Linked DNA regions of Astyanax mexicanus. The protein of the gene in region 3 interacts with the protein of the main gene of each other region in a pairwise test. Links are inferred from orthologs where the notes say so. Each region holds a gene or a part of one and is shown on either strand. Other genes may lie near its edges.

The links.
Region 1: the proteins of emilin1b (region 3) and uncharacterized protein LOC103045848 interact in binary tests that used the Homo sapiens proteins (3 or more experiments, as listed by UniProt). The two-hybrid records come from large-scale screens. The link is inferred for Astyanax mexicanus from reciprocal best matches to the Homo sapiens genes EMILIN1 and PLAC9.
Region 2: the proteins of emilin1b (region 3) and nmi interact in binary tests that used the Homo sapiens proteins (3 or more experiments, as listed by UniProt). The two-hybrid records come from large-scale screens. The link is inferred for Astyanax mexicanus from reciprocal best matches to the Homo sapiens genes EMILIN1 and NMI.

The regions. Positions count from the first base shown.
Region 1 is NC_064414.1:39,447,543-39,458,743, forward strand, and holds the start of uncharacterized protein LOC103045848, read left to right. Parts: upstream 1-6,961; 5' UTR 6,962-7,130; intron 7,131-7,794; 5' UTR 7,795-7,819; coding exon 7,820-7,880; intron 7,881-11,201. Other genes in the region: L-threonine ammonia-lyase, read right to left, coding at 18-134, 625-979, 2,616-2,719.
Region 2 is NC_064418.1:15,938,747-15,949,307, forward strand, and holds the start of nmi (N-myc-interactor), read right to left. Parts: upstream 5,054-10,561; 5' UTR 4,982-5,053; coding exon of another isoform or gene 4,783-4,981; 5' UTR 4,743-4,782; intron 4,597-4,742; 5' UTR 4,433-4,596; coding exon 4,400-4,432; intron 1,860-4,399; coding exon 1,812-1,859; intron 1,705-1,811; coding exon 1,546-1,704; intron 263-1,545; coding exon 146-262; intron 1-145. Other genes in the region: protein mono-ADP-ribosyltransferase PARP14-like, read left to right, coding at 4,783-4,981, 8,049-8,236, 9,764-9,788, 10,469-10,561. UniProt on the Homo sapiens protein: Acts as a signaling pathway regulator involved in innate immune system response.
Region 3 is NC_064421.1:626,576-637,757, forward strand, and holds the start of emilin1b (EMILIN-1b), read right to left. Parts: upstream 4,069-11,182; 5' UTR 3,816-4,068; coding exon 3,682-3,815; intron 3,676-3,681; exon of another isoform or gene 1,848-3,675; intron 1,740-1,847; exon of another isoform or gene 1-1,739. UniProt on the Homo sapiens protein: Involved in elastic and collagen fibers formation. It is required for EFEMP2 deposition into the extracellular matrix, and collagen network assembly and cross-linking via protein-lysine 6-oxidase/LOX activity.

The DNA.
Region 1 (11,201 bases), on a different chromosome or scaffold from region 3:
CAGTATTAACCTGTTACCTGTTTCAGTGTGGAGAGCAGATACAGAACTCCTCTTTCCTTCAGAGATCCTGTGTAGTGGAGGTGTTCTTTCTTCAGGTAAATCTCCATGCCGTATAGTTTGGAGAGTCTGGAATACTGAAAGGCAGAGGTAGAACCAGGTTTGGACTGCAGTGAAGCTGGATGATAGATTGCCTATTTTAGACCACTGAGTGTTATCTTACTGAATAGTTCTCATTCTTTCTAAACTCAATCTCCTCAAGATATTTTGGTTTCTGTCCCTGTATTCCCAGCAAGACAACCAGGCAAACAAAACCCCAGGCTAAACTCCTCCTGGGCCTCCTGAGAAAACAATAAAATGTAAGCTTTGAAGTAACTTTTTTTCCTTAGTAAATCAAACTTTACAACACAATACATTTTTGAAACAGCAGATGCTGGCTTCTCTTTATGTTTACACTGTGCTACTATGTTTAGATAAAACTTTGGGTGTTGGAAGGATATTGTTTGGCTGTTGATTTTGGGCTAATACTTGCTATTTCAGGCTGGAGAATATTCTGTCAGAATGTTTGTGTAGAGACTGACTGATATCGGTGGCCAGATCCCAGAATAACGGTTTAGATGAACATACTGTGCAGGGAGTCTTCTGAATTCCTGCTTGCTGTATTTTTAATGTCGCTGTACTGATGTCCTCAAACCGGAGGTACTCCACAGGAGGTCTGGCTGATGGCTTGTACTCCTTGCTCCTCTTGACAGAAGGTTTGGGTGGAGCCATTAGTTGGACCTCAGGTCCTCCTACAACCCTGGTCTCAAATGTCTTCACATCCCCATTCAGATACTCCTCAGCACCAAAGTCTCTGAGACGCTCTGGACAAATGAGGGTAGGTCGACGGCCAACAGCTCCATTGGCGATGGGGCCGTCTTTATGGTATTGCCCATCAGGAGTTGAGTGTTTCTTTTTGGTGCTGCTTAAACGTTGCTCTTCACTGTTGTAGAAAAAAAATACACAAAAAGATATATTATTCTTTTGCTTTCCTTTCCATAAATGTATTTTCTTTGCATGCTTACATACACTGTACATACACTTCTCTGTAGAGAAATTAGCAAATGTGCAAGAAATATAAAAATAATTTAGCTTTTTCTTAGAACCTCTCCTTAAATGAGATTAGATTAATCTGTGAAAAGTCTGCCAAGAGATGTAAGCCTGAAGAAAGTGATCTATGGTGACAATGAGAAGAAGAGAGAATCCCATCACTGATGCCTGCCAGATGCCTTGGCTGAATCACCAAAGCCAATGACTGAGGGTAAGCTAAGCATGTGCTATGTAGATTATGTCGTCTTTGCTTTGCCTTATCCTTGTGTAAAATAGCAGATACCCCACTCTGGAGCCTCTTTATCAAATACCTGTGTAGCTTTGTAATGAAAAACAGCTGAAGAAAAAAGTTACTGGGGTAATTGGGTTCAATGTTTACTTGACTCAGTTTGACTGGTTGAATTAGACTGACGGTGCATAATATGAATATATACAAGATTAATACTGCAGGACTACTGAATGGTACACATTAAACTTGCCAGTGTTAGATCAACACTGAGTCCTAAACATTGGTAATTTAACATTTAAGATTGTACTGTGTATTGTGTAAATAAAGTGTGCAGTAAGTGCTATAACCAAATATGGGTTATATGCTTTGGTCATGTGCTCACAAAAAAAACGAATCCTTCACAATTCCTAATCCACTCAAGATCTCAGTTTGGCTCTGTTGCCCAGCCTTTCTAAGCTCTAATAATATACCAGCCTAGATTTGTTCTCAGAGGTGACCTCTTACCCCATTCCAACTAGCCTGACAGTCATACCCAATGCTCCGCCAGTGCTATACTTTTAATATTTACTCATTGTTATTTTCTTAAACTTGTTTTTCTTTGTATGATTTACTTTCAACTACCATCTTACCCTTCTGTGATAACTCTATTTACCGTGGCAGGAAGAGGAGGATGAAGGAGAGGAACAAACGGAGGAGGAAGCATATTACTGTGTGGAATTCAGGCAGGAGTGTCCTCCTCCTGGGAGCATTAAGGAGGTGCGAGGATGAAGGTACAATAGGGAGAGCTGGAGAACCTTGAGGTGGAGGAGGTGCAGATGCAGGAGGAGGGTCAGAAGAAGCTTTAGACTTTGAAACAAAAGATGCCTCAGAAGATATCTTCTTTAGGGTCCCAGCATTAGATCGTTCAGCTTTGTCTGAACTGGTTTGAGAGTTACAGTTTGTAGGTTGAAGCTTTTTGATGGATAACCTCTCTACTGCATTGGTAGATGGTAATGATGGAGGATCTTTTGAAGATATTTGGGAGGCAGAGGCTACTGTGGAGGGAGCAACCTTCCTAGAAGTTTGAGTCCTAGGAAGCTTTGGGGAAGACACAGCTGAATGGTTGGAATGAGCCAGGGTAGGACAAGCAGCAGGAAAAGGGGTTTGAGCAACTACACAGTCTTTAGAGGAGGTGCTAGGTTCAGAGGAATGTTCCAAAGCCATTACATTATCTGAGCTGACACTTGTTGACTCAAGAAGACACTTGGTATTTTTCACATTAAGAGATTCTTTAGGGATTTGAGATTCAGACTCCTCCCACCTTTGCCAGAAGGGATCGTACTCCTCGTTGTCACTGTATCTCCTTCGAGGTGGCGTTCCCTCCCCCGTGTAGTTTGCGTAGAAAAACTGGGCCGCAAAGTTCATCCTGGATCTTGGGTTGGTGCTCTAGGCAAGTTCCAGGATCTCCTTTAGTAAAGAGTTCCCTCTCCTGTAAATAGGAATGTGTTCAGCCTGCACAAGAGAAAGAACTAGAGTCCTGTTCTCCTCCACCTCTACTTCACACAGACGTACTGCAGAACCCTGGCTTGCCTTGTGAGGCTATTTAAGGAGGGATTACCCCAGACAAATGCCAGCCTCTTTCCCAGCCTCCCCACCCCTCCTGGCCAAGCCCTGAACTCTATTCCTGTCCCATACCTGGTTTAAACTGCCCTGTGACGTGGGCTAATCAGACGCTCTAACGGGATAGATGGAGACTTAGTGCTTATCTAAGAAACAATCAGCCCGGGCCTTGGGTCTGGGAGGCAGACTGGGCGATCACGGGGAGAGGCCACTGTACCCCAGGACCTGTGTGGCTGACCATCAGGCCAGGCCAAATCCTCTTCAACCAGGATCAGATGTGAGGAGTCACCTCTACTCCGAGCTCTCTGACCACACCAATTACTCAAAGTCCAGAGTGATTTGAAATTACTGGATGGTGTTTGTTTATATAGTTTGTAGTGTTATTGTTTTTAGCTTTTTTTTTTACTAAAAACTTTTTGTAAAATCAATGATATGTTAATCAGTTAAGATAGCAAAGCTCCAGAGGCAGGAAGCTGTGGGTTCCATTCTTGCTCTGATCACTGTCTGATTGGTGTTCTCCCGTGTCTGCACAGGTTTTCTCTGGGTACTCTGATTTTGTCCCACCTCCAAAACAAACACGTGGTAGGTGAACTGGCCATGATAAATTGCCCCCTAGGTGGGAGTGTGTGAGTGATCTTTAGTATATTTCAGGGAAAAGAATACTGGTGTCCTGTCCAGTGTGTATTCCTACCTTGCATACAATAACCCAGCTCTGGTCATGCAACCACGACAATGGAAAAGTGGATGTGAAGATGAATGGATTTCTATTCAAAGAAATGCAAACTGGTTGTTTCAGTTACTTAGGCTATTTCTGGGCTGAGTACCACACGCCGAGTCTGAGTTGCATCAGCCCAGCAATGGTTTAAATCTAGGCCCGATTCTGGCCTCAAGTGCTAGGCTCAGAAACTGGCAGAGTGTTGCCTGTACTAACACCTCTGTTTACAGAGTATAATACAGCAACTGGCCCAAGCCACATATGCCAACACACCGGTGGCTGTTAGCTGGGTATGATAATCTGATTGTGAAGTCCAGGGAGAGTTGAGGAGAATGGATAAAGTTCAGTCAACAGTGTTTATTTGCAACACCCACAGCTTAAGTATGTTCCTAACAGCACAGAAATAAGGCAAGCATTATGGTTCTTGGGATCACACAGGACAGTAAGAGTGGACAGCCAGCTTAAGCCCTTCTGAGCAGTCAAGACACGTCACTGGCCAAAGAACTGAGCTGAGGTGTGACCCTGAGGGTGAGTTTTTTCCACATAAAAAACTGTAGGTTTAAACATTTACATTTACATTTACATTTACGGTATTTAGCAGACACCCTTATCCAGAGCGACTTACAACAGTGCTTCAAAGTTACTTAAGATATCCAAAGCTAGTTTGTAGACTAGGATCAAGAGATACATAGAGCTTAGTCATGTTAAGAACTCTAGGAACCTTTTTTTTTTAATTTTTTTTAATTTTTTTTTTTTTTTATTTTATTTTAATTTAGTTTAGGAACTCTTTGAAAAGATGTGTCTTCAGTCGACGTTTGAAGACCGTGAGTGACTCTGCTGTTCTGACATCCAGTGGAAGTTCATTCCACCACCTTGGTGCCAGCACAGAGAAGAGTCTGGATGTCTGTTTTCTGTGTGTTTTGAGTGATGGAGGTTCGAGCCGAGCCGTACTGGAAGCTCTAAGAGCTCTTGGTGCAGATCTGGCTTTGACCATCGCCATCAGGTATGAAGGTGCTGGTCCGTTTTTTGCCTTGTAGGCCAGCGTCAGGGTTTTGAATCGGATGCGGGCGGCAACAGGAAGCCAGTGGAGGGAACGCAGCAAAGGAGTCACATGACTGAACTTCGGAAGATTGAAGACGAGTCGTGCTGCCGCGTTCTGAATTAACTGTAGTGGTTTGGTGGCTCGCAGTGGAAGACCAGCCAGTAGAGAGTTGCAGTAGTCAAGTCTTGAGATGACAAGAGACTGCACAAGCACCTGAGTGGCATCCTGAGACAGAAACGGTCGAATTCTTCGGATGTTGTACAGGAGAAATCTGCATGACCGAGTCAGATTTGCAATATGGCTCGAGAACGATAACTGGTCATCCATTACTACACCGAGGCTTCTTGCTTCTGCCGATGGAGTGACCAGTGAGTTCTCGAAGGAGATGGAGAGATTGTTGTGAGGGCTTGTAGTTCCTGGGATGAACAGAAGGTCAGTCTTGCTGGGGTTGAGTTTTAGGTGATGATATAAACAATAAACAATTTCAGTCTCAAATAGCCAACTGCTCTGAATCTCCATTCTTTCAGCTGTTTTATCTGCTCTGGAAAACTTTTCATTTGCTGGCGGGTTCGAAAGCTCTCTGGCCTTACTACAATTCCATTTCCCGCACAGGCTGCTGGTGGGGTTCCCCATCCTCCTCTTCCTCTTTATCTGTGTCCCTTTTGCAACCACACACTGCAGGTGTGAGGTGTGTATGAGGACAAGGAGATGAGCACACAGCAAGTGTCCACATGATTGTGTGTGTGTGTACACTCAGATTAAACAGGCTCAGGTAGGGAAGCAGCTCATCCACAATTTTATGACTCTAAGGCTATTTTTTTGCTTGCTGAATAGGCATGCATGGATTGTCCCTGTATCAACTGCTGTGTGTTACAAATTGTGCCATCAAAACCACTGTCGTCTTTTACTGACCCGGCAACACAAATAATGGCATAATATGAATTTTTAGGCTAAACATTACAAACATTTAAGTTCCACGAGGCATGCACACTGTTCTGTACCTTTTTAGTGACCCTTTCCTTCCTCTGCTTATCCTTTCTGCCTTTCAGGATTATGGGAGCAGACAGTGCTTGACCAGTAGACCATGCCAAGTACTGTCGGCCTAATATAGATGGACATGTTTACACTGCAAACTCTCTCTCTTGCAGGTGCTCACTCTCTCTTCCTTTTTCTCTCAGTGTGTTCATTAGCTGAAATAAACAGAAGAAAAAAGAAAACGTTATTAAAATGACACACAAAACCATGAATCCCCATTTTTGCTGTTTTGCACTTTTGGACAGAATGTAAGCGGTGTGCCATATCCTATCTCACACAATAATATGGTCGATTTTTGTAACAATAAAAAAAAAACATACATTGTGATAATTATGCTACTCTGTCTTAAAGCAGTCTACTTTGTAAGGTGTAAGTGTATTTTTTGCATAATTGTTTGGTTGCTGTTTATATGCAGAATATTTAGTGCATAAATATAGTGATACATTTTATGTAAAATGTATTTTTTGTATTCAAAATCAGAATCTTATCTTACAAAATAGACAAAAGATTGCATCGTTGTTTCTACTGAATGTTAGAAACTTAAAATTTAATGCTGAACGGGCCAATAGAAATGCTCCAAAATTAATTGGGATAAAATCCCTTTACAGTGACTTTCATGTTGTTTATGCCCATATTTGGGGTTTTGTGTGTATTTATTTTGTCTCATTTACCACTCTGTGCTTCGTCTACAGTAACCACCTACTGTCCTGTGGCACACAGGTCCACTGAGAACACAACTCATATGACTGATCAACACGAACTAACTCCAAAAAGACCCAGTTAACCATTTTACACAAGAAGTGCGCTTGCTCTATGAGCCTCAGCGGATGACTACTGTGGTCAATGAGAGCAGGGAATACAGACACCACGCCACGCCACGCCACGCCACAACATACTGACATGTTGGATCTTTGACTTATGGATAAATCTGTCAAACAATCTTGTATTTTTTAATATTACAATGCAAACAACAAACATACTCCAGTGTTCAAAATTGTGCAGCACTAGTACTGATCGCATGGCTATGTTCAATTTATTAGATTACTACTTGCTCCAAGCAAACATATGCTTACACACACGCATGCATGCACTACTTGCATGTGCATACTTCCTGAGGTTTGCTGGCTTGGCTTCAGCTCTGTTTCAATTCTGCTGGAGAAAAAAAAATAGTCCCACCCCACAGGCCCACTGCTCAACTTCACACACACCCAGCCCCCCCACCCATCTCTCTCTCTCTTTTTTTCTCACTCTCTGTCACTCTCTCGCTTTGCCCTCCTCCAAAAAGAGACCACTCTTGTCCTGCGCTGAGTGTTTTCATTAGGAAAAGAGGCAAAACGCAGAGTGAAAAAGAGAGAGACAGAAAAGCAGTGACTGAGGAGGGAAAGAGAGTCACGAACAGCTAGAAGCCCACCACAAGTTTTAAGGTAAACTCATCTCACTTCCTCTACTTTTCCTTCATGTGTGCATGAATTACTTTCCTGTTCTGACTGTGTGTTGAAGAACCTCAGAAGTTTACAGAGCTCCGATTTTTAATCTGGCTCTGGATTAGTGTATAGACACACTGTATGCCTGAACACTAATACACATACAGTTATATTAAAATCTGGGCATCTAAGGTAAATTATATGTGTTGGATCCCATGATTTTGTCTCTTTTTTCACTTGTATGTTTATGTTTATGTACGGGCAGTTCTAGCCAGACACTGCCAGTCACAATCATTTATCATGATTCCCTATGCCATAAGACATACTACCAGTAAGCATGTGACATTAAGAAATACCTACTATAAGGTTTTGCTCAAACTCTGATAATTCATAAGTACACTGGACAGTGTTCAGAGTCACTCACAAGGTAACATCTCACAATTTATACAGTGTTTGCAAACGGCTATCCCATTAATGTCAGTGTATTTGTAAGATATTCAAAAAAAAAAAACTAATCTGACCAGTGTTTCCAAGCTTTTGCATAACTCTATACACATAGCTGTGTTCAGTTGTGTTTTTGTGTATTTACTGTATAGTCTGCTGTATTTGTGCTGTATTTTGTCTGTCAAACAAACAACCAAACAACCCTCTTCTTTCCCTGTAGCTGGATTTTGTATCAGCTCTGAGTCATGGCCCAGTGCTCCACCTGCATCAGCCTCTTACTGCTCCTGATTGGTCAGATTTCTGCAGGTAGGCACTCATAAAGTGTGAAGTGGAGAATGTGGGCTTTCGAAATCTATATAGGCAAATTTGGACTCACCAAGTCACATATCTAAACAGCCTGCAATTCTGACTCTCTGTGAAGAAGATTTCCAGAAGAGTGATTTGTGTAAAAACAAGAGAAAAGAATCAAGAAATACTGTAGTAATACTGGAGTGAATATTAGATTCATGAAATTTAATAACGTGTGTGTGCGTTTTACGGAGCTGGAACATCTGGTTCTGATTTGGCTCTGCTTAGCTCGGTTCTGAATGACAGGGCAGTGTAAGCTCACAGTGGACATGCACATTTCATGCATGATATACCATAGTTAACTTCAGCCATTATAGAGCATTTACACCTAGCAACCAAGCAAACTGAGCTAAGATATTCTCTGCAGGGCTAAAGCTTGTGTAGCTTGAGTAGTTCTGGTGACTTCACTGGCAGAGAAATTTGAAATAATTACGGGAATGTTTTTGTGTGTGATCTCATTTCCTAAGAATGGAGAAATATTCTCATTCACTCCCAAATACAGAAAGGCTCCCTCTGTCTCTTTCTTACGCTCTCTAAATTTTTTCCTGCTCTTGCTGTCTCTTTGCACTTCTATTGATCTGGGAAATACTCCACCAAGCACAGTTAACTGAGGTTAACAAACACATTACAGTTACACACATTTTCCACTGGCCTGCTCAGACCCACTATTATTCAACAGCAAAGAGAGACTGAAGCCCAATTCTGTTCTCCTTTATTTTACTAACCCCAATCTGAGGCGGACTCTGTGTACTGCATTATGGTGCTGTCGCTACTCCAGGGGCCTCCAGCTGTTGAATAATGGGTTTGTGAGTGTGTGAGATGAGTGGGGCATATTTTTCAGTTGTAACTTGTTGCCTTTGTGTATGATTATTTCTCCGGGTGATGTCACAGCCGGTCCAAAACTCACACATCATTACCAACTGCATTTTACGTGGCCAAACACACTCACACATTGCTTGTCTAAACTGTGCTGTTGTTTTTGACACACACTCACAAGAAATATACAAAACACTTATTTAAAAAACTGATCTGCTTTAGTACTACAACTTTTGTTGTAATTTAGAACTACCCACTGCTGTAATTTCTGGTCCACATCAGGGCAGCAGGCCTGAGTCATTGTGCTACATCATTGTGCAACAATTGGGGGCCCCTTGTGTCGCAGTGTTGGCTGGCTCCCAACTAACTCACACAGGCAGCACAGACTAAGAGTTGCTATAGAATCCACACTAAAATCGTATACAAAACAACATAATTTACCAATGAAACGTAAAGAGAATTAGTGCCACCAACCTAATATAAGGTAGGTCTCAATTGTGCCACCAAAACAGATCTTATCATTTGAGGCATGGATTCCACACAACCTTTGAAGGCACCCTGTAGTATCTTGCAAGATCAGTTTTATTTGTTGGTTTTTGTTTATTTGTAGTTTTTTTTTTGTCACATTGCAGATTTCATGGTGGCTAATCGTGCTTTCAGCCGCTTAAAAAAAGATTAACCCAATTAATTGCATGCTCTGTAATTAATTCATTCATACACATTCATCATTAAATATTTTTAAAACGGAGAGTTCAATTAAATGTTAACTGAGAATGAAGTGAGTAAAAGAATAACTGGCATAGACTTAATGAAATTCAGTCAAGATAGATAGACAGATGAGGTAAATACTGTATCTTTCTCACAGTCCTAGATCAATTTCTATAGATACTTAAACGTGACACAACAATTATTGTAGATGCTCACACATGCCTGAGAAAATTTTCAGGTGATTTTAGACTACTCAACCACACTCTAGAGTAACTACACTCTAGCACAGCTGAAATATGTTTGTGTAATTATAAAATATATCAGCCCTGATTAAAATGTTTGAAAATGAGATGGTATTATTAAATATTAACAGAATTTAGACATTTCATTATATTTTGATCAATTTTTTTCTTAGTAACAAACAAATATTATTTTAAGTCAATAGTAATTAATTTTAGTACATATCTTTTCATTTATATTTTCTGCCCTGGGGCTCTTATTTTGAAAGCAGAAACAGCAGATTAGCCTATCAGCTAACCGGTGATGCCAGCTGTTCCCAAGCTGAATTAATGGCTGGTGTTTGATAACAGATGGATGGCACTGTGCTGGTTAGATTGTTAGGTTCTGGGGTTTGGTATTATACATGGTTTATGGTTATACGTCACTCCAGTCTTTAGTTACTGACCTCAGAAAACCAGAATGCAGCTAGTGGCTCAATGCTAGGTAGAACTCAGCAGTAAGGAATTAGGTTGCACTGCTTTGCCTTATTTCCCTATTAGTTGTAATACTTTAGAGAACTTTAGCTATAGTAACTAAAGCTAGGAATTAGAGAGGCTTTAGCATTACTGGATGGTGACGGGGTGCTATTGGTTACTTTGAAATATTTACTGTAAACATGTAAACAAGGAAAAAATTACATTTATAGGACTTCAGACTGGGGGCTTCATGCCTGTTCCTCAACCCAACAAAGCAGTTATTTTATAACTCCACTTCATGCAGCTCAGTTCAATCAATTACTGGATTAGTGAGCTGCAGCTGTTCTCTCTCTGAACATGACAGGTTTTTATCTCGCTTAATAAAAGTTGTTTCCCAGCTAAAATGAAGATTTTATATAAGCTGCTAATGGAACTTAATGTTGGGGTAATGTTGAGGTAAATGTAGAAAGTGTGCCCAACAAAACAAAACAAAAAAACAATACAATGCTTAATAACTACAAAACTAATTGGAAATGATCTTACTAAGACTTGTATGTTTAAAATCAAGCTAGTGGGTGAAACTAACTGGCTTTACCCACATAGACCTTCTGATCAGTGAATTAAATAGAATTTTTAAGCTGCGTTTTATTATATCATCTTTTTAATTTAATTTTCTGGATGCTTAATATGAACAAATGGCCTGTCATACAAATGTGTTTCATAGTTTATGTCCACTTAGACTTTAGGTTTCTGCTGTTAATTCTTTGTTAGCTTTTAGCTTTGCTACAGTTCTCTACCACAAGCCTGAGTCCAGCAGAGACAGTGGCTGACCATACTAACATTCTGTCTGAACCCACAGACCTCAGCCAACTGTGTCCACATGTGCTTCCATGTCTTTGCAACAAATACAAGACAAGCCAAAACACTGTTTACCCAAACCCAAAAATCCAAAAGAAAAAGTTTCCCTGTTCCATGTGTTCACACTGAGCAGGCCTCAACAGACTGCACAGATAAGAATAGCTATAAATGGTTACTTTTAGAGAAGAATAGTGCTGCGTCC
Region 2 (10,561 bases), on a different chromosome or scaffold from region 3:
ATACAGACCAACAGACATTAAGGGAAAATGTGCAAGCCTTTGGCGCCCTCTTGTGTTTTTACTGTTCATAACATTATATTGGCAAAAAAAATCCCACACAAGTGTGCCACACTCTGGTGATTATATGTATACTGTGCAGCCCTACCTTAAATCTCTGCTGCAAAGAGTCCGACTCAGCCTTCTTGATCTTGAGCTGCTCCGAAATACCCTGTAGTTTCTTCCTCAGATCCTGATTAGTTTTATCAAAATTGCTAATTTCATCCTGCAATACAAATGATTGTTAATAAAAAAATCATTTTGTTCAGAAATTGATAAAATCCATAATCTCTTCATTACTGTGTTCTTTTAAACTGATTTTTGCTCATAGCTTTATTTAACTAGTAAGGACAATATAAGTAATAAAACACTCTATATGGCCATATCATGTGTGGGGTCAAGGCTTTATCTTGTCCTTGCAGTTTACCAAGTATACCAGATTGTGTATATAAAGCTCTGAAAAAATACGAGAACACTTCAGTTTCTAAATCAGTTTCTCTGATTTTGCTATTTATAAGTATATGCTTGAGTAAAATGAACCTTGTTGTTTTATTCTATAAACTACAGACAGCATTTCTCCCAAATTTCAAATAAAAATATTGCCATTTAGAGCATTTATTTGCAAAATGAGAAATGGCTGAAATAACAAAAAGATGCAGAGCTTTCAGACCTCAAATAATGCAAAAAAAAACAAAACAAAAAAAAAAAACGTTTGTATACATAAAGTTTTAAAAGTTCAGAAATCAATAATTGGTGGAATAACCTTGATTTTTAATCACAGTTTTCATGCAACTTGGCATGTTCTCCACCAGTTTTACCCACTGCTTTTGGATACTTTTATGCCACTTCTGGTGCAAAAATTCAAGCAGTTCATCTTAGTTTGATGATTGTGATCATCTGTCTTCTTCGTGATTATATTCCAGAGGTTTTCAATTTGGTAAGAGCTGTATGTTTATGCTATTGATGTCAATCAATTTAAAGTATATATATTTGGATTTTAATAATTAATCAAGATTAATTGCAATTGTTATTCTTCATAATAATAAATACTTGATGTAAATGAAATGATAAATGTAAGATTGGCTAAATAGAATTAGATTTATATTAGTATGGTAAATTGGTTAAAAACTGAATTGTATTAATCACAACAATATTTTGTAAATAACCATTATTAATATTATTTATGTAAAATATTTTGGGATTTATTTTTGAGAGTGAACCGAAAAAATTGTGTGTGTGTGTGTGTTTGTGTGTGCAATAAGAGAAAGAGGGAGTTATGATATTTAATCCATATTTCAGCGTAAATAAAAAGTAATCTATCCTCTGAACTCGACAGTAAGCTGTTATATGGTCAAATAAAACCTCTAATACATCACCAGGCTTTGTAAATTTGGTCATGTGATTAATGCGTAACTTAACAATAAATCTGTTAAAGTTTCCAGATTAATTGTGTGCGTTAATGCATTAACATTGACAGCATTTAATAGTTAATACCTGATCACAGCATACCTGTATGTCTTGCACTGTTTTGTCGAACTTGTCTGTGAGCTGCTCTGTAGCATTCCACAGTTCTGTTGTTTCTTGCTGGGCTTGTTTCTTCATAGATTCTGAGTCCATCTTTTCCAGCATCAACCTGGACCTCTCTGTATCTGCAGCTTCCACAAATTTCTGATAGGAGCACAAGCGTATTAAACAAATACCTGACCAAATCAGATCCATGAGTAAATATTGTTCAGCTTACAGAATACAGGCCAAGTGTTGTTAGCTTCCATTACCTTCCATTTCTCCAGCTCTTCCCTAGCGTCAGCAATCTGCTGCAACTGCTATATGATAGAAACATCAAAAACACTGTGTTAAAAAGATATAATTAAAATTAAAAACATCCTTAAAAATCCACAGTCAATTCCAACTTAATATATAATGTTGATATAACACATAGATGCACCTTAAGCTGATACATGTATACTTATTAACCTCTTACAACCAAATGCTGCTTACTTTTGTCTTTGATTCAGAAATTATTCAGATAATATATACAAAACCACAGGTGCCTCATTTTCAGTGAAAATAGAAAAGTATTATAAATAAGACTTTAAATCATGAGAAAATTATTTAAATATACAGAAAAGTTTTTTTTTATTTCACAAGGATTAATAAATAGTCATTTTTATATAAAGTAAATCGACAAAAGAATGTTAATATTTAGGTAAACAATTATTTCCAAAAAGAATGTCAAAAATGATAAGAAAACAAGTTCAATTTATTATTTCTATAAAATAAGACAAACTTGATATAACTTGATGTTATTAGTTCTACAAAATAGATAAAAAATATTGTTAAAACCACTATAGCCATTATCTATTATTCTGAAAAAAGAAGGAGAACAACTAAAAGTCAGTCAAAACTCATGAAGTTTAAAAATCTCCATATTTCTCAGATTGTCAATCAACATCTTGACCACTGACCAACAGAAGTGTTCCAAAATTGCACACTGACTTTTACTGAACTGGACCCAGGTTTCCAGAAGTATCTTAGCATTAAGTAAATCCTATAAACATGGAGTCTTCAGTGTAATGCTCGCTCATCCATCTAAGACTTAGGTATTTGCTCAGCAGCTTTTGTAAAACCAGGAGACTGAAGTTAGCTTCTTATTCGGATTTTGAAGTCCACCTTAAAAAGTAGAAATAACAATGTTGTGCCAGTAGAGAGCGGGATTGGGCCAAGCAAGACAACTTTGGCATCTAATGCTAAAGTTCAGAGGGTCATAATAATAATAAAAAATATTGTTCAATAATATTCATTGTCCTTTAGGATATTTACAGTGTAATAGTTATATTATTATAATTTGGTGTTACCTTTATCAGATTATTTAGTCATTTGGAATTAGGGCAACTGGAAATCCGCAGAACAGGCCATTTATTCTCTGAATGTATTGAAAAAAATTAAAAGACCACTTCAGCCTCAGTTTCGCAATTTATAGGTATATGTTTTGATTAAAATGTACATTGTTGTTTTATTCTATTAACTACGGACAACATTTCTTCCAAATTCCAAATAAAAATATTGTCATTTAGAGCATTTATTTGCAAAAAAAAAAAATAGAAATGGCTGAAATAACAAAAAAGATTCAGAGCTTTAGACCTCAAATAATGCAAAGAAAACAAGTTCATTTTTATAATTAATCACTTCAGAAATCAGTATTTGGTGGAATAACCCTGGTTTTTAATCACAGTTTTAATGCAGCTTGGCATGTTCTCCTCAACCAGTCTTACACACTGCTTTTGGATAACTTTGTGCCACTTCTGGTGCAAAATATTAAGTAGTTCAGCTTGGTTTGATGGTTTGATTATATTCCAGAGGCTTTCAATTTGCTAAAATCAATCAATCAATTTTTCTAGAGCTGTATATTTCTTAAATGCCAAATTTGTCTTGGCCCAATCCCGCTCTCTACTGGCGCATTATTGGTATTTCGACTTTTTAAGGTGGACCGGAAAATCTAAATAATATACTGGGAAAACCCACACCTGAGAGTTAAGAATTTGACCCTTTTTTGATGTGAAACGAGCTATACGTTCTAAAGACGTTATGGAGCGCGAGAGTATCAAAAATCGCATTGAGCGCATAATAAAAAATGCTACACGTTTTAAGAAACTGGATACAGTATTTCACGTAGCTACTCTCACGTAGCTCACTCGGTCTTCTCTCGCCGACATTTCTAACCGGGGGGTGTCCTGTCGAGTTGTGCTTCCCATCGATATATGCTTCTTTTCTCCAGTGCGCCTGCGCGGACTCACATTTTTTGTAATGTTTCCACGGTTTTTTATGATTTATGATTTTTCTTTTAACGTCAACTCACTGTTATTCTTTGTTTAAGTGATAGACAAGTATAAATAGCAAAAATGAATAAAAAATACCAATAATAAGCTATACAAAAATCTTATTATTAAAAATCTTATGATTAATCTTATGATTAAAATCTTATGATTAAAAATCTAATCAGGTCTCATTGCCGTAACTTTTTTTTTTTTTCATACAGTGAGTTAGATAAAGCTTATGGAAGCATACCTTTGGAAGCATATTTCTTAAACAGTGCCTATTTGTGTATTTTTACGTTTAAATATACACTAAGGTAGCACGATTTGACAGGGTAGCACAACTCGACAGAACACAGGCTATAAAGACGTTACAAAGCGCGACAGTATCTAATCGTATCTAAAATCGCATTGAGCGTATGATAAAAATAAATCAATTGCTACACGTTTTAATAAACTGGTATATGATTAACGACTATTGCTCGTAGCTTTTCTTTTTTTTTTTTTTTTTTTAAATGGGGCGAATCCCGAGACGAGCAAAACACGCTTACCTCGCCGTTCACTTGCTCCCCTGTATCCGTCATCTCTAACAGATTTCTGCCGAGGTCTGGTCTCCCCTTTAAAATCACAAGAAACGCAAATAAATGCGCGAATAACGAGTAAAAATGGGATTTATCTGGCGTAGCTCCCCGCTGTTTGTGGTTGTGTTCGGGTTGTGTCTCTCTTCCTGGAAAAGCAGGCGAGTGTCCTGAAGTAAAAGTGAAAGTAAAGTAAAGTAAAGTACAGTACAGTACAGTTCGGACGGGCTTCAGCGAGCTCCTCCGACAGCTGTCTGAAATGGACAGTTCAGGAGACTGTCTTCAACTTTACTTTAGTTATTTTTAAAGTTCTTACTGAGATTTCTGTGAGTTTATCTGAGATTCTAAACGTCGAGATGGAGACCGCCAAAAGAAAACAGAGTCAGGATGAGAAAACACTGGAGCTGGAGGGTCTTCCAGATGATTTTCACCGTGTGAAGTCCAAACTAGAACTGTACTTCAAGAACAAGAGACGGTCTGGAGGAGAGATCCTGGAGATCCAGGAGCATCCAGAAGATCAGAGGAAAGCTCGACTTATCTACATGGATGAAGGAGGTACGTTCATAAAGCCAAAACTACTATTTTCTCTCAGAGAAGAGTAAATGGGACTAAACTAATTTTGGAGTCGTTGGAGGTGTACCCTCTTTTCTTGACTAGGGTAATACTCCAAATTATTTAGAAATATTTTGATTTGATTTGACATACCTACTAAGAAAAAAATGTACTTGTTGCTGGGGCAGTACCTTATATTGAGGTACAACAGAGTATCTTTAACTGAAAGACTTTTTTGTAAACATGTTTTTGTAACGTTACCAGTAAAGATTATAAAAATTATAAACATTATCATCAATTGAACATGTGTCAAGGACTTGATGATAAAAATGTATAATTAAAATATATATTATTTATTGGTACAGTGATTCAGAATACAGAATGTACTTTTAAGCTGGTTAACTGGTAAAAATCTCTACTTCCTGCTGTTAGAAAAGACTTTGTACTTCAGACGGAACACATCTGATCCTGTAAAGACCAATATTATACCTTTGAGGGTACAATTATGAAATGTGTAACTTTTTTATCTAGTTTTTTTAGTGTGTAATCAAAACTTGTCAGTGTTAAATCAACAATGCGACTGCTAGATTGAACCCTTTCAGACCCTGCATCAGTTACAATGGACATCATGTAGTTTCTCTTTCCAAATGTATTTTTTTTTTTTTAGAACAGAACAGAACATTAATTGAGACCTGTTCACCTGTCCATCAGAAAAGATCATAAACCAGCCAGTGAAACAGTAGCTTAGCCCCACCCACTGCACTGAAAAAAATAAAAAACAGCAACTTGGACATTAGGGCATGTCAGCACTATAGAACCAATGAGGCAAAGTAGTACAAGAGACTTAGAACACTTTGTATCATGTTTAAAAATCTGGGTTAGTTGGATTTATTTTATATGGATTTTATATTAGGATACTAGTGTCGATAATAGTTTTTTGTGTGCTTTACAGACACAAAACAGTCTTCCTATATTTTTCCATCCCGAGAACATAATTCAGGTCTAAAAGGGTTAAATGAACATTGTTAGACAATAGTTTAACACTAAGGGCAGTATTCCAGACTGTGAAATTTAGTCTATTCGTATATTATGTTTTCCTTTCAATGGAAAATCTTCAGTGAAATAGTGTGTAGTCAGAGACTAGGCTTAATCCCTGTCTGGAGAACTGACCCCCCTTAAAGTGTTGATTTACCACTGCCAAATTTGCTGTGTATCTTAAAGGAGAAATACAGTTTGAAATGGACTTGAGGTGTAGTGAAACATGATAATGAGTATAAACTTTTGTCAAATAGCCCAGCACTGTTTTTCTCCAGCATTCCAAAATACAGCAAAGAAATTGCTATTTTTACAACAATAACTAGCTCAAAGTGGCTCCACACTGAAGGCCCCGATTTTAAAATGAGGCACGGAGAACTTCGAAAGTGAGCAGGTAGTTTATTAAAAACACTGTTTATACACACAGTACCTTCAGGTAGTTATTCATTTAAATGCATGACTATTATAGATCTGTTTTTTTTAGCAACAGCTCAATTTCATGCATTTACACAGAATTAATTCTGCAATATGTTCCCCTATTCTAACCTTTCATTCATAAAATGATTTAAAAATTGTTAGTTTAAAATTATTTTCAACATGGTGGCACCCAGAGACTTTTCTTGTGTAATTTGTACATACCAGTCAGCCATAATATTATTACCAGCTGCCTAATACTGAGTAGGTTCCCCTTGATCTACAACAACAGATCTGACCATTTAAGGCAAAAACCATTTAAACTCCAAAAAAAAAAAACTAAAAGAGGAGGCCTGTGGTATCTGGCACTAAGACTAACATTAGCAGCAGATCCTTTATGTTCTTTAAGTTGTAATGTATGAGGCGTTACTTGTTCAGTCATCACTGCATACCAGGAACACCCCACGTGACCTGCCTAATATTTTGATGTCCTGACTCAGTTGCTTACACTATCATATGTTAGTCTTATCACAATAGCTATTAATACTAATAATCTTTTAACAACCATTTTTATGCCAATATTTTAGGTATTGTATAATTGTATAACAATACAATTACATCATTTTAAAGAAGATGGAACTTTTAACAGCTAAGAATATTGGAATTGGAATATTGGATATCTCTTAAATTTCATTGGGATAGGAATGTAATTTAAGAAATATCATAAATAAATAAAATGTAAAAAAGCCAAATATCAGCTCATTCATATTAATGGGCTTTCCTGCTCACAAAAACATTACAGATAATATTGAGGTCAACTAAAATTATTATTATTATTATTATTTAGGGCTGCAAATAATGATTATTTTGGTAGACAAATATGATGATTTTTTTAAGTTAGTCAGTTAGTCAACAATTAGGAGTCAATTGCTTTAAAATAAAAAACACGCTAAACATTCAATATAAATGTCCTTTAATGTGGAAAATACTGATATTTAGTGAGTAAATATGGAATCTGTTGTGTTTGGGCACTTTTGGAGATAAATGGTAAGTGTAAAATGTATGACTGCATTTCAGCGTTTAATGCACATGTCCATATACAGCTCTGGAAAAAATAAGTGACCACTTAAAATTCAGATTTTTCTTTGATTTTACCAAATTGAAAACCTCTGCAATATAATCAAGAGGAAGATGGATGATCACAAGCCATCAATCCAAGCTGAACTGCTTGAATTTTTGCACCAGGAGCGGCATAAAGTTATCCAAAAGCAGTGTGTAAGACTGGTGGAGGAGCACATGCCAAGATGCATAAAAACTGTGATTACACCAAATATTGATTTCTGAACTTTATGAATATAAACCCTAATTTCTTTGCATTATTTGAGGTCTGAAAACTCTGCATGTTTTTTTTTTTATTTCAGCCATTTCTCATTTTCTGCAAATAAATGCTCTAAATGACAATAATTATATTTGGAATTTGGGAGAAATGTTTTTTACTTCAACTGTCAGTGGTACTAATGTTATGGTGGATCAGTGTTAGTTAATAATTTTATTGTGTCGTATTTATAAATTGTAAGTCTGAACCGTGTCAAATAATGCATTATCATTGTCTAATCCTCAGAATTAAATAAAGTACTGGAGAAGAGAGTTCACCAAGTGGCTTTTAAAGGACGGGGACTTGTTGACGTGACGGTGAAACGTCTGGAGGACGAGAGCTCAGCCTTAAAAAAAATGAAACCTCCTATTTTACCCAAACCCAAACTGGAAAAACTTGAACTCAGCAAATCAGCACAAGCCGCTGACGTCCAGGTGACTTCTCTGTTTTTATCTTTGTTGCAAAACACTGTTACACCTGCCGGAGGAGCTCGTTTTTCTAGGGGAAGTCCAACCTGACGTTTCATTAATCAAATAAACTTTATTTTCCTGATTTATTAGAAACGACAAGACAATGGGGAATCTGAAAATGAAAGCATTTAAGCAATGCTGATCATGACGTTAATAAGGAAGTATAAAACCATGACTCAGATTAAATATATGATAAGCCTTCCATTCAGATCAGACCTTCATAAACAACACAGCAATAGATTTATGTGTTTGAATGTTTCACATTCTTGTTTTTGCATTTTAGAAAGAACAAGAAAAGCCAAAAAACAATGTCTATTATTTTTATAGTTAAACCTGTAACACAATTAAGAACAAAATGTGTGTTTTTTCACACAACATATCAGTAACTAAAGGCTAGGGATGAGTTGATATGTTTTTTTTTGTCCAAAACAGTAATTCAACAATATCAAACAATTGACCAATAAAGGGGATGTTTTTTTTTACAGTTTTAAATAATGTTTCAATAATTCACCATTGAATGAATAAAAGATGCCTAAATATACTTTTAGTTGTATTGTAAAGAAAAAAACTATTATAAAACAAAACATTTTAACGTTTTGTTTTATATATCTCAGCATACTTATCTATTCTGTTCACAAATGTACCCTAGCAGTGCTATTTTTATTATGAATTTACTTCATTAGTGCTATTCTGATTATGAATCTACCTCAGCATTACTATTGTTATTATGAATTTACTTCATTAGTGCTATTTTGACTATGAATTTACCTCAGCAGTGCTATTTTTATTATGAATTTATCTAATTAGTGCTATTCTGATTATGAATTTCCCTCAGTAGTTATATTCTTATTATGAGTTTATCTTATTTGTGCTATTCTGATCATAAATTCACCTCAGTAGAGGTATTCTTGTTATGAATTTACTTTATTTGTGCTATTCTGATCATGAATTCACCTCAGTAGAGGTATTCTTGTTATGAATTGACTTTGTTTGTGCTATTCTGATCATGAGTTTACCTCAGCAGTTCTATTCTTATTATGAATTTATGCCATTTGTGCTTTTCTGATCATAAATTTACCGCATAAATGCTATTCTCATATTCCATTTTGAATTTATCTCAGCAGTGCTACTCTAGGCTAGGGCTAAGGTAAGCCCGCTAGAGGAAATCTCTGTAGATTTTCAGATTTAAAATTTTTCTTTGACTGAAACTGCTGATAAGGTTGAAGTGAGCTGTATGCTTTCTTAAAAAACATATATACAAGTTTTATTGTGCTACATGTTTTTTTTTTTGTTTGTTTTTTGGCCAAATAATTTTTATATTCATTGCATCCGTAGTATTTTTCTGGCAAAAACACATTTATTGCTAAGAAACCCTGAAGCAGCTTTAAACAAATATAATGAAACCCTAGATGTTTAGCACAGTACTGTATAGAGTATATTCCTGATCAATTTGTTTAATCTCTTTGTCTTTTACATGGATTTGCTGTAAAGGAGTCTGTCTCTGAAATTCCTGAAGGTATTATTATGCTTATTATGCTCAGCGTACTCTCAATGTATTACTGTTGTATTTGTAATGCAAATAAATGTATACTTTATATACTTAATATAATATTTTATATACAATTTATTCAGTTTAGAATTTGTTTAAAAATATATTATTTAGACTACAAATGTTATACTGTTCATGTTTGGTTTATATGCAGTTTTACCGTTTAGACTGGTATAAATCTGTACATTTTATAGTGATTTATATTATATACTTATAGTATGCTGTACTCTAAACCCTATGTTCTGTTTTTTTTACCTTTTTTTATTCTGTTTCATACAAAAATAAATTCTGCAATGTATAAAGTTATTATATTCAGTTTTCATTTACTGTTTTAAGTTATCTTATTTTCTGTGCCTTAATGAATAGAAATGAAATAAAGAAAATGTATATATAAATACAGAACATTTTAGACTCTTAATGTAAAAAAAGTTTCAGAATAAAAATAAAAATATGATATATGGTCATTTGTTGTATGAGCTCAATTATAAAATATAAATAATATTTAAAAAATAAATGCCCACTTATGATGATGCACATTTATAATTTCACAGTAGCACATTTGCTATACACTTACTGTATTATTTGTCTCAAATATAAAAATGCCCTTAAGCTGAATTTGAGTTATACAGGTTTTTTTTCTATTCCAGAAGCGGAAGAAAGCTCCAGTAAGCAGGACTTGCTGGTCAGCACCACTGACATGAATGATAAAGATACTCTGGAAATATATTTTGAGCAGTTCA
Region 3 (11,182 bases):
CTTCTTTTAATCCCACTGAGAGCCTGCGGGGGGCGTAATACTGCCCCCCCAACACACACTTAACACTTCATCATACAGCAGCACACCTGCGCTAATACTCTAAATACTCTAAATACTCAAATTATAGGGTTAATCATTCCAATAATCACCAGAAACACACTTACTTTAACTCTTTATCTTTATCTCAGGAAATATTGGACAGACAATAGATTATAGAATAACAGTAAACACAACGTGGCAAATTATTATTATAATTATTATAATCATACTTCAAAGGTATTAAAACAATGAGGTCAGTCCTTTTATTTCCAGGTATTTACATTTAGACCTTCTGTCTGAACCTACACATGTTTTGTTTTAGCAAAACTATTAGAACAGATAAACTTAATGGGTTAAATAATGGATAAAAGTGATTAAAACCTAATCCCAAGCCTGTTAGCTATTGACATATTCATTTATTGACCTAAACTTTTGCATTCTTCTTTTTTTATGATGCTTTTCCAGGTTTTCACTGCAGCTTCAGTTCAGGTTGAGTTTTATATGCTGATACTCAAAATAACGTGGTTGATAATTGCTGATAAACATAATTACTTTCAATAATAATGAAAATAATACTCGTTAGCAGAAAATATAAAGCTAATTCTGAACAAAAATAAGTTTTATTTATGAATCATCAATTAGTAATTGAGTTCTACTCTACTTAAGTACAACTTCTGCACCCATGTATATAGATACAGCTCTGTAAAAAAAAAATAAGAGACCACTTAAAAATGATGTTTCTCTGATTTTACCAAATTAAAAACCTCTGGAATATAATCAAGAGGAAGATGGATGATCACAAACCATCAAACCACCAAACTGAACTGCTTGAATTTTTGCACCAGGAGTAAAGCAGCATAAAGTTATCCAAAAGCAGTGTGTAAGACTGGTGGAGGAGAACATGATGACAAGATGCATGAAAAAGCTGTGATTAAAAAACAGGATTATTCCACCAAATATTGATTATTTCTAAACTCTTAAAACTTTATGAATATGAACTTGTTTTCTTTGCATTATTTGAGGTCTGAAAGCTCTGCATCTTTTTAGTTATTTCAGACATTTCTCATTTTCTGTAAATAAATGCTCTAAATGAGAATATTTTTATTTGTAATTTGGGAGAAATGTTGTCTGTAGTTTATAGAATAAAACAACAATGTTCATTTTACTCAAACATAAACCTATAAATAGCAAAATCAGAGAAACTGATTCAGAAACTGAAGTGCTCTTTTATATACTGGGTTAAATTACTCAGATAATATTCATAATGGTGAGTTGTAGTTATTAATATTGATTATAATAGCAGTTCCTTTTTCCTGTATCTAAAACACCAGAGCTATTTCCAGCATTAATGCTGGCGTTTACTACACAGTGGGCGTGTACTTTACTCCAGAGAGAGGTGATCAGATTCATAAAAGAGCTATAAATCAGTGTCTCACATCTAACAGTGATGTATTTAGTGCTGTATGTGCTGTCAGGTCGAGTTTTCTCTCAGTGTGAGGTAAAGCAGAGCGTCCACATACAGCCACAATACAGATTATATAAAGTTTATATACAGTTTATATACAGTTTTATAAAATGGTACAAACAGTGTGAGTACTCATGATTCTGATCCGATAAAGTGGGTCTGCGGTGCAAACAGAACATATATCAGAGAATGTTAGAGGAACACTCTGGACCTTAAACAGAACCTCAAGCAGAACCTCAAACAGAACCCTAAATAGACCATCAAACAGAACCTCAAACAGAAACTGAAACAGAACCTCACATAAGACCTCAAACAGAAACTGAAACAGAACCTTAAATAGAACCTCAAACAGAACCCTAAATAGAACATCAAACAGAACCTCAAACAGAAACTGAAACAGAACCTTAAATAGAACCTCAAACAGAAACTGAAACAGAACCTTAAATAGAACCTCAAACAGAAACTGAAACAGAACCTCACATAAGACCTCAAACAGAACCTTAAATAGAACCTCAAACAGAACCACAAACAATCTCAAACAGAACCTCAAACAGAAACTGAAACAGAACCTTAAATAGAACCTCAAACAGAACCTCAAACAGAAACTGAAACAGAACCTCAAACAGAACCTTAAATAGAACCTCAAACAGAATCTGAAACAGAACCTCACATAAGACCTCAAACAGAACCTCACATAAGACCTCAAACGGAACCTTTAAGCAGAACCTCAAACAGAAACTGAAACAGGACCTTAAACAGATTCTTAGACTGGACCTCAAAAATAATCCACCAGAACCATGAAAAAGGCCTCAAACAGAACCTCAAACACATCTTCAAACAGAACTCAGAAAACCTCAAATAGAACCTCAAACTGGAAATCAAGCAGAACCACAAACACAACCTTACATCAAACCTCAAACAGAACCTCAAACAAACATTTACACTGGGCCTTAAACTGAACTCAAACCAGACCTCAAACGTGGCATTTAACAGGACCTCAAAACCTTATACTGGACCTTAACAGAATCCCAAGCCTCAGAACCTCAAATATAATCCATCAGAACCATGAACGGGGCCACAGGACCACAATCAGAACCTCAAAAAGAACCTCATAAAGTCTGATAAAGTAGTTCTGGTGTAAAAACTAGAACATACCTCACTCTACATCACACTGGATCTCAAACAGAACCACAAACAGAACCATAAACAACCTCAAATCAAACCTCAAACCGAACCCAATCAGACCTCAAACAAAACATCAAACTAACTCTCAAACAGAACCACAAACTGGACACCATGCAGAAACTCAAAAAGAGGATTACACTGGGCTTTAAGCAGAATCTCAAACCTCAGAACCTCAAATATAATCCACCAGAACCATGAACAGGGCTGCGTTTAGAACCTAAGACAGAACCTCATAATCTGATAAAGTAGTTCTGGTGTGTGAACCAGAACATACCTCACTGCTTCACACTGGACCTCAAACAGAACCTCAACAAACAGAATCTTGAACAGGACCTGATACAAAGACTTTAAACAGAACCTCAAAAAAGACCTTAAACTGAACTCAAACTAGACCACAAACTGAACCTAGTCAGGGCCTCAAACACCAGCCTAAACAGAACCTCAAACTGGACCTAATAAGAGCCTCAAAAAGAATCTGAAACTGAAACATTGCCTTAAACAGGACCTTAGACAAAACTGAACCACAAAAAACAGAACTTAAATTGAACCTCAAACACAACTTCAAACAGAACATTGAGCAGAACCACAAACACAACCTTAAATCAAACTGCAAAAGAACCTCAAATTAACTCTCAAACAGAACCCCAAACTGGACCTTAAACTGAATCTCATACAGAATCTCATTCAGGGCCTTAAAAAATCCCTCAAAATTAACCTAAGACTGGACCTTAACAGAATCTCAAACTTCAGAACCTTAAATATAATCCATCAGAACCTCAAACAGAACCTCATAAAGTCTGATAAAGTAGTTCTGATGTGTGAATCAGAACATAACTCACTCTGCACCACACTGGACCTCAAACTGAACCACAAACAGAACCACAAACAGAACCACAAACAGAACCTCACACATCTCAGTAAGTGAGTAAATGAGCTCCAGCCCGTACAGCAGAGCTCCCACCCAGAAGTTCTGAGCTGTAAAATGATCTTACCTGTGTCTGCTGGCCGCCCGGGGCGCCGTGCCAACCTGTGTGTGTGCCAGCCCATTGCGCTGGTTGTGCCACGCACTCCTGGCACTGCCACACAGCCCCAGCAGCACCAGAACCAGAACCAGCAGCAGGTCCATCCCTCACTTCAGACACAGAACACAGACTGGAGTTCCTCTGGAGCTGCTCAAGTGTTCCTCTCTGAGCTCCTCATGCCAGCTTTCATCACACACACACCTCCCCGGGCACACACACACACCTCCCCGGGCACACACACACTCCTGCAGGGCGGGTACGACCCTCTACAGCCCGGCTGCCATTCCCCCGGGCTCTCTCAGGGCTCTGGAAGATCAGCTACATCCAGTCCGGGCGCTCAGATCCAGGGCTCTGCTGAGTTTGGGAGGTCCCTCTGAGCTCCAGAGCAGCCTGTGTGCAGGCTCCACCCACTCCCCCGCCTCCTACACTAGCCCCTCCCACATTTACTCCCCGCCCTCTACTCCCAAAATGAGTAATCTCAGAGAAAACCCTCACACACACTCTTACACACACACACACACACACTTTTGGATCAGTACCACAGCTCACTCCCGGGCCTGTTTTCAGTAAAAGTGAATCAGGCCACGTGTCTCTAAACCGGTAAACTCCAAAAATCTGCTTAAAATCTGCTTAAAACAGCTTTTAAAACAGTGAAAAACAGCTAATTCTGTTGAACATCAATAAAAAAACAAGAATCAGTCAGCATTATGCAATTAAAATTAAAATTAATCTGAAATTTTCTATAAATATATATATATACATATATATATATATGTATATATATATATAACACTCAAAATATTGTCAAAATAAAAAAAGGTTAACTTTCATTTCATTGCAGACAGTATGAACCCAACGTATTTCATGTTTCAACATTATTATATTATTAAAAATATTATTATCTGTAAGCAAACTGTTGATTTGATTTAGGGCGTGTCAGTGTGTCTTTGCTATCGTAACGACGGGAAAAGTAAGTACACCTTGCACAGCTCTAAATGCAAAGCAAAGTCATGTAATAATTCTCTTAATTAATCATGGGTGTGTTTAATTAATTTTGGGCGTAATATGAAATAAATAAACCAATTAGAGTGTCATCTGTTTGCTCATCATTCTCTTTAAGAGTAGATCAGGTGAGCTCTGTCTTTGGTGGATTGCTATTGTAACGGTGCAGCTACCTGGACGTGTTCAACAAACTCTTCTCAGCAGAGGAAACTGAGCTGCTGGTTGACGCTGTGAAGGAGCTCCAGCAGCTCATTTACGGGAACAGCAATGTTATTTTATTTACTATTCTGTTTATTGTTGATGTAAAAGTTGGGTTTGTGCTGCTGTGTGTTCATGTGTGTGTAATAAGTGGGGGTGTACGCTCGGCTCGGCACGGCGCCTGTGTTACCGAGATAGCGATGATCGTCTGACTGTTGGCGTCTGTCTAGGTTGTATTCAGTCAGTGGAGCTCCTGTGTTTTCTGTTACCAAGATAAACAAGATAAAACTCCAGAAATGTACCTGAACACACCTCATTTCCAGAACACCACGCCCATCAGTGTAGATATATTCAGAAGCTCTGCTGCTGTTTAAACCAGGCAGGAGGAAGGATAGGGCTTAATAAATATGAAATATCTTGATTTAATGCTGTCTGAAATCAAATAAAAGCCTTGTACTTTATTGTAACACTGTAGCAGCTTTTCTTTCAGGTGTATCTGTAAACTGTAAAAGCTGCTTTGTTGATAGCGGAATCCTCTGTGATGCTAAATAAAAACAGTTGTATATATAGATGCTGCAGCTACAGGAGGATTTTCCTGGTATCTGAGGAAGCCGTTATGAATTCCTCGGCTGAAATAGCCTGCAGTGGTGGGTGGGGTGTTGGGGGTGGTATACGGGGTATTTCAGTAATGTGGCTCACCACAGGTGACCACAGGCACAGTGTCCTATATCACCTGTCCTCAGGTGACCCCTGTGACCTCGGGACATCCTACTTTAACACTAAAACAACACCCCCACCACCACCATCTCCACCCCCCCTCGGCTCAGTCATGCAGTTTATAACCTGCTGACTGATATCAATATGAATTCTGTGTAGATTTATAGATTATAGATTATTGATTTTCATACACTTAATATTTAATAATCAATAACACACAGAACATAATATGTAACATGCATAAGACATCAGTGTTCACTGTAACCCTGTTTTATAATTGAATGAATGCTAATGAATAACTGTACAGGTCTAGCGCCTCTGCTGGCTGGTTGCAGTATGATGTGTATGTAGCTCCGCCCATCCCCGCATGTTTCAATAACACAACCCAAAGCCACACCCATTTTCCATCTCATTTCTTTAAAAAAACTCTACTTTAAAAACTGTAATTTTCCATCTGGAGTGTCCAACAATTCCCCCAGAATCATCAGTTTATAACCCTTACTGTAAAATAGCATAAAAAGGAGGCGGTGAATTTATACACACAAATGTACAAATCCAGAAATTGTCTTTTTAAGTCAGATTTGTAAAAATTACTCTTTAGATCAGGTTGTACTCTGATGCTGTGGGGTGATTTTCATACAAGAAACCTGTCAAACATCACGCAGCTGAAAGAATTCTGCATGGAGGAGTAGGAAAACCTTTCTCCCAGTTGATTTTAGGTAAAGGCGAAAATATATGGTCAGTAAGAATCATCTTAATTTAGCCTTAGATTTCTAAGAGCAAATGCACCTATGGGTAAATTAGATTTATAATATCACTCAGAGATAAAATTAATACAATTAAAACAAACAAAAAACAAAACAGCAATAAGCTCAACACCAAATTTAAGTTTACAAACTAAACAGTACGCTGCTGTATTATCTGACAAACAAATATTTATATATACATGTTCAAACACAAAATAATGCATCCTATCTAACCCCAAGTCTATAGTTTTCCCCATGCATACAGTAGCATCTACGCTAGATAAAAACAAGTATTGGGCGTATCTGAGAACATCTTTAGTCCTTTAGAGCATTAAATAATGCAATTGGTTCATTCTGCTGTTAAATCAGTAAACTAACTTGCATATCAAATTTGGAAGATGTTTTAAGAGAAATTAAGGTCTTTCTTTCTTTTAAATAAAGAAAAGATTTTTTAAGACTTTTTAAGGGTCTGCAGATGCCCAGATAGCTCTAATCTGCGTGTAAGCAAATGTTTAGCACATTAACTTTTTTTTAAGTAGTTTACTGAGCGCCTAATATATCAATTTGATCGTTTGTTTGTTTGGAAAACAGTGGGTTTTTAATGTTTACTGAACTGGACTGAAGGCAGATCTGGCCGGTGTTGGCTGAGCTGGACTGATCTGATCTCGCTGTGTGGTGGTAAAACAGCGCCGCTATTAAAAGGAAGCACGTGTTGCTTTAATGAGCGAAATTCTGCTGCCTGGACCCTTTTATTTTCCCCCAAATTATGCAGGAGCTCAATCAGAAACAAATGCACCCTCTCTCAGAGACACAGCAAACAGTGCAGCAGAGGAATACTGAATAAATACTACAAATCATTCTAATGATAATATATCTTATTCTAGCGTATAAAAGCGTTTATTAAGGGTGTTTATAGACAATTATCTCCTTTTATATTGTATATACAGTGTTGTGCAAAAGTATTTGCGCCTTCCTACAGATTTCTTGTGGTGTTTTTGCTTTTTTATCATAATTTTTTTTCCGATTAACAAACACATTTTAATTACAGACAAATATAACCTGAGTTAATATAATTTAAATGAGAAATGCAGTTCTTTAAATGTTGTTCTGGCTTCTTTTGGGATCTCCTGGATGAGTTCTTCATGCCCTTTTGGAGTAATTTTGTTCGGTCGGCCGGTCACTCCTGGGAAGGTTCACCAGTGTTCACCATGTTTTCTCCATTAGTGAATAATAGTGAATCACTGTGGTTATCTGCTTTTATTGTTCTTTGATTTTATTGTTGTCAGACAGCTTCTATTTAAGTGATTTCTTGATTCTACAGGTCTGGAATCAGTAATGAGGCCTGGTTGTGGTTAGTAGTGAAATTGAAATCAGCTTCACAAAAAACTTGTGATTAATAGCAGTTAATTTATGGGGGGCAAAACACTTTTTCACACAGGGCTAAATTGGTTTGGATAGGTTTTTTTTTCACTTAATAAATGAAATGATAATTTAAATAGTGCTTTATATATTTACTTAGGTTATATTTGTATGATATAAAAGTTGTTTTGTTTTCTAGTGTATAGGAGTGTTTATCGAGGGTGTTTATAGGCTAATATCTCCTATTCTAGTGTATAGAAGTGATTATTGAGGGTGTTTATAGACTAATATCTCCTATTCTAGTGTATAGAAGTGATTATTGAGGGTGTTTATAGACTAATATCTCCTATTCTAGTGTATAGAAGTGATTATTGAGGGTGTTTATAGACTAATATCTCCTATTCTAGTGTATAGAAGTGATTATTGAGGGTGTTTATAGACTAATATCTCCTATTCTAGTGTATAGAAGTGATTATTGAGGGTGTTTATAGACTAATATCTCCTATTCTAGTGTATAGAAGTGATTATTGAGAGTGTCTATAAACTAATATCTCCTATTCTAGTGTATAGGAGTGATTACTGAGGGTGTCTATAAACTAATATCTCCTATTCTAGTGTATAGGAGTGTTTATTGAGGGTGTTTATAGACTAATATCTCCTATTCTAGTGTATAGGAGTGATTACTGAGGGTGTCTATAAACTAATATCTCCTATTCTAGTGTATAGGAGTGATTACTGAGGGTGTCTATAAACTAATATCTCCTATTCTAGTGTATAGGAGTGTTTATTGAGGGTGTTTATAGACTAATATCTCCTATTCTAGTGTATAGAAGTGATTATTGAGGGTGTTTATAGACTAATATCTCCTATTCTAGTGTATAGAAGTGATTATTGAGGGTGTTTATAGACTAATATCTCCTATTCTAGTGTATAGAAGTGATTATTGAGAGTGTCTATAAACTAATATCTCCTATTCTAGTGTATAGGAGTGATTACTGAGGGTGTCTATAAACTAATATCTCCTATTCTAGTGTATAGGAGTGTTTATTGAGGGTGTTTATAGACTAATATCTCCTATTCTAGTGTATAGGAGTGATTACTGAGGGTGTCTATAGACTAATATATCCTATTCTAGTGTATAGAAGTGATTCTTGAGGGTGTCTATAGACTAATACCTCCTATTCTAGTGTATAGGAGTGTTTATTGAGGGTGTTTATAGACTAATATCTCCTATTCTAGTATATAGAAGTGATTCTTGAGGGTGTCTATAGACTAATACCTCCTATTCTAGTGTATAGGAGTGTTTATTGAGGGTGTTTATAGACTAATATCTGCTATTCTAGTGTATAGGAGTGTTTATTGAGGGTGTTTATAGACTAATATCTCCTATTCTAGTATATAGAAGTGATTCTTGAGGGTGTCTATAGACTAATACCTCCTATTCTAGTGTATAGAAGTGTTTATTGAGGGTGTTTATAGACTAATATCTCCTATTCTAGTGTATAGGAGTGATTACTGAGGGTGTCTATAAACTAATATCTCCTATTCTAGTGTATAGGAGTGATTACTGAGGGTGTCTATAGACTAATACCTCCTATTCTAGTGTATAGGAGTGTTTATTGAGGGTGTTTATAGACTAATATCTGCTATTCTAGTGTATAGGAGTGTTTATTGAGAGTGTTTATAGACTAATATCTCCTATTCTAGTGTATAGGAGTGTTTATTGAGGGTGTTTATAGACTAATATCTCCTATTCTAGTATATAGAAGTGATTATTGAGGGTGTCTATAGACTAATACCTCCTATTCTAGTGTATAGGAGTGTTTATTGAGGGTGTTTATAAACTAATATCTCCTATTCTAGTGTATAATGTTTAGTGTATATACACTATTCTAGTGTATCAGAGTGTTTATTGAGGGTGTTTTTGGGGTAAAGTCTGTTAAATATGACCTTTTCTTTGTTTATAAAGTATCAGTTTGCATGTGTTATTGATATAAATGAGTGTTGAGTAAGAAATCTTAAGTTTCCTTTGTCCTGGGGAAGGCCAGAACACGCTGCTCAGATATTCATTCAATCTGAAATGTAAATCATAACCGTTCTGCGTCATTCTGAACCACTTTAGCAAAAAAACATCCTGCAGCAGATCCAGCTGTGCATTGCATACACCCTCACATACACAGCTGTGTTTACTGACTGACTGAGTGTGTGTGTGTGTGTGTGTGTGTGTGTGTTACCACATCACTTTCCACAAACTCATGCACACTCTGTTTTACCACACACCAACCACACGGGGCTTTCTACTGACCACAGAGAGAGAGAGAGAGAGAGAGTACACACTCAATCAGGCTGAGACTCTCTCTTACAGGAACATAATCCAGCATATTATTAAATATATACACATACATGTACACTGTAAAAAGTAAAACACTGCTCTCATTCATTTAAAGTGTTTTTTTCACACTCTAATAGTTAAAACATATTAGATTATTTGCTTAAATGCAAGTAATTAATTTATACCTGTGGTTTGAACTTGCTGTTTTACATTGATACAGTATTGAAAGTCAGCTGGACATGAATTTGGAATTATTTATTTAATTAACTCATATTTTTAGATTAAGAAACGGTTGCGCATGCACATTCATCACACGGTGGTGCTAATGAACCTGATCGCTTATTTCCACCATCCAAAAAGTGAAGAAGAGGAAGAATAAAAAGAAAGACCTTCCTGATTGTCACGCAGCCTTGTTCTCCTTCCACACTACCGGACTCCATTTCCCAGAATTCCCCTGATTATGACGTCAATAAAAACCTTTCACCTTCACCCAATCGCGTTACGCTCCGACGCTCTGATTCACCTGAGTTCTAAATTACTTCCGGTTCATTCTTGTCTAGATCCTGTATTTAACGCATCCGTTTGTAAACAAACACCGCGAGGTATTGTCGACTCATGTTGCATACTAAGCGTTATTTTCCTGTTTTCGGATTATCGGTTTATTTCTTTTGTTTTGCCCTTATTGGATTTGATGTATGGTTGGACTGTTTCTCGGTTTCGAACTCGGACTGTATTTTTGACTACGTCTTCTGGTATCGGTGAGATCATTGTTTGCCTGTTTATTCTGTTAGCAGTATCTGTTAGCCTTCCTGCTAATAAACCTGTTTGTATTCTTAACTCGGCTCGCGTCACTCCTCTCTACCTGGCGTTACACTTATTATCCTTCTTATAGGCTGTAGTAGAGTGTGTTAAAACAACTAAAGAGAAAGATTAGATATACAGCCTTTAAATGGTCGTTTGATTTTTCAGACCAGTGAAAATAAGTTACCATAATTTTTTTATGTGTTTTTATACAAAAACACTTGTGTTCTCACCTTATTTCTTGAGTGATACTTGGTCACTAACTTGTGGGCTCTTAAGATTTGTTCCACCCTGTTCCTCCACTGTGTGAATGGAG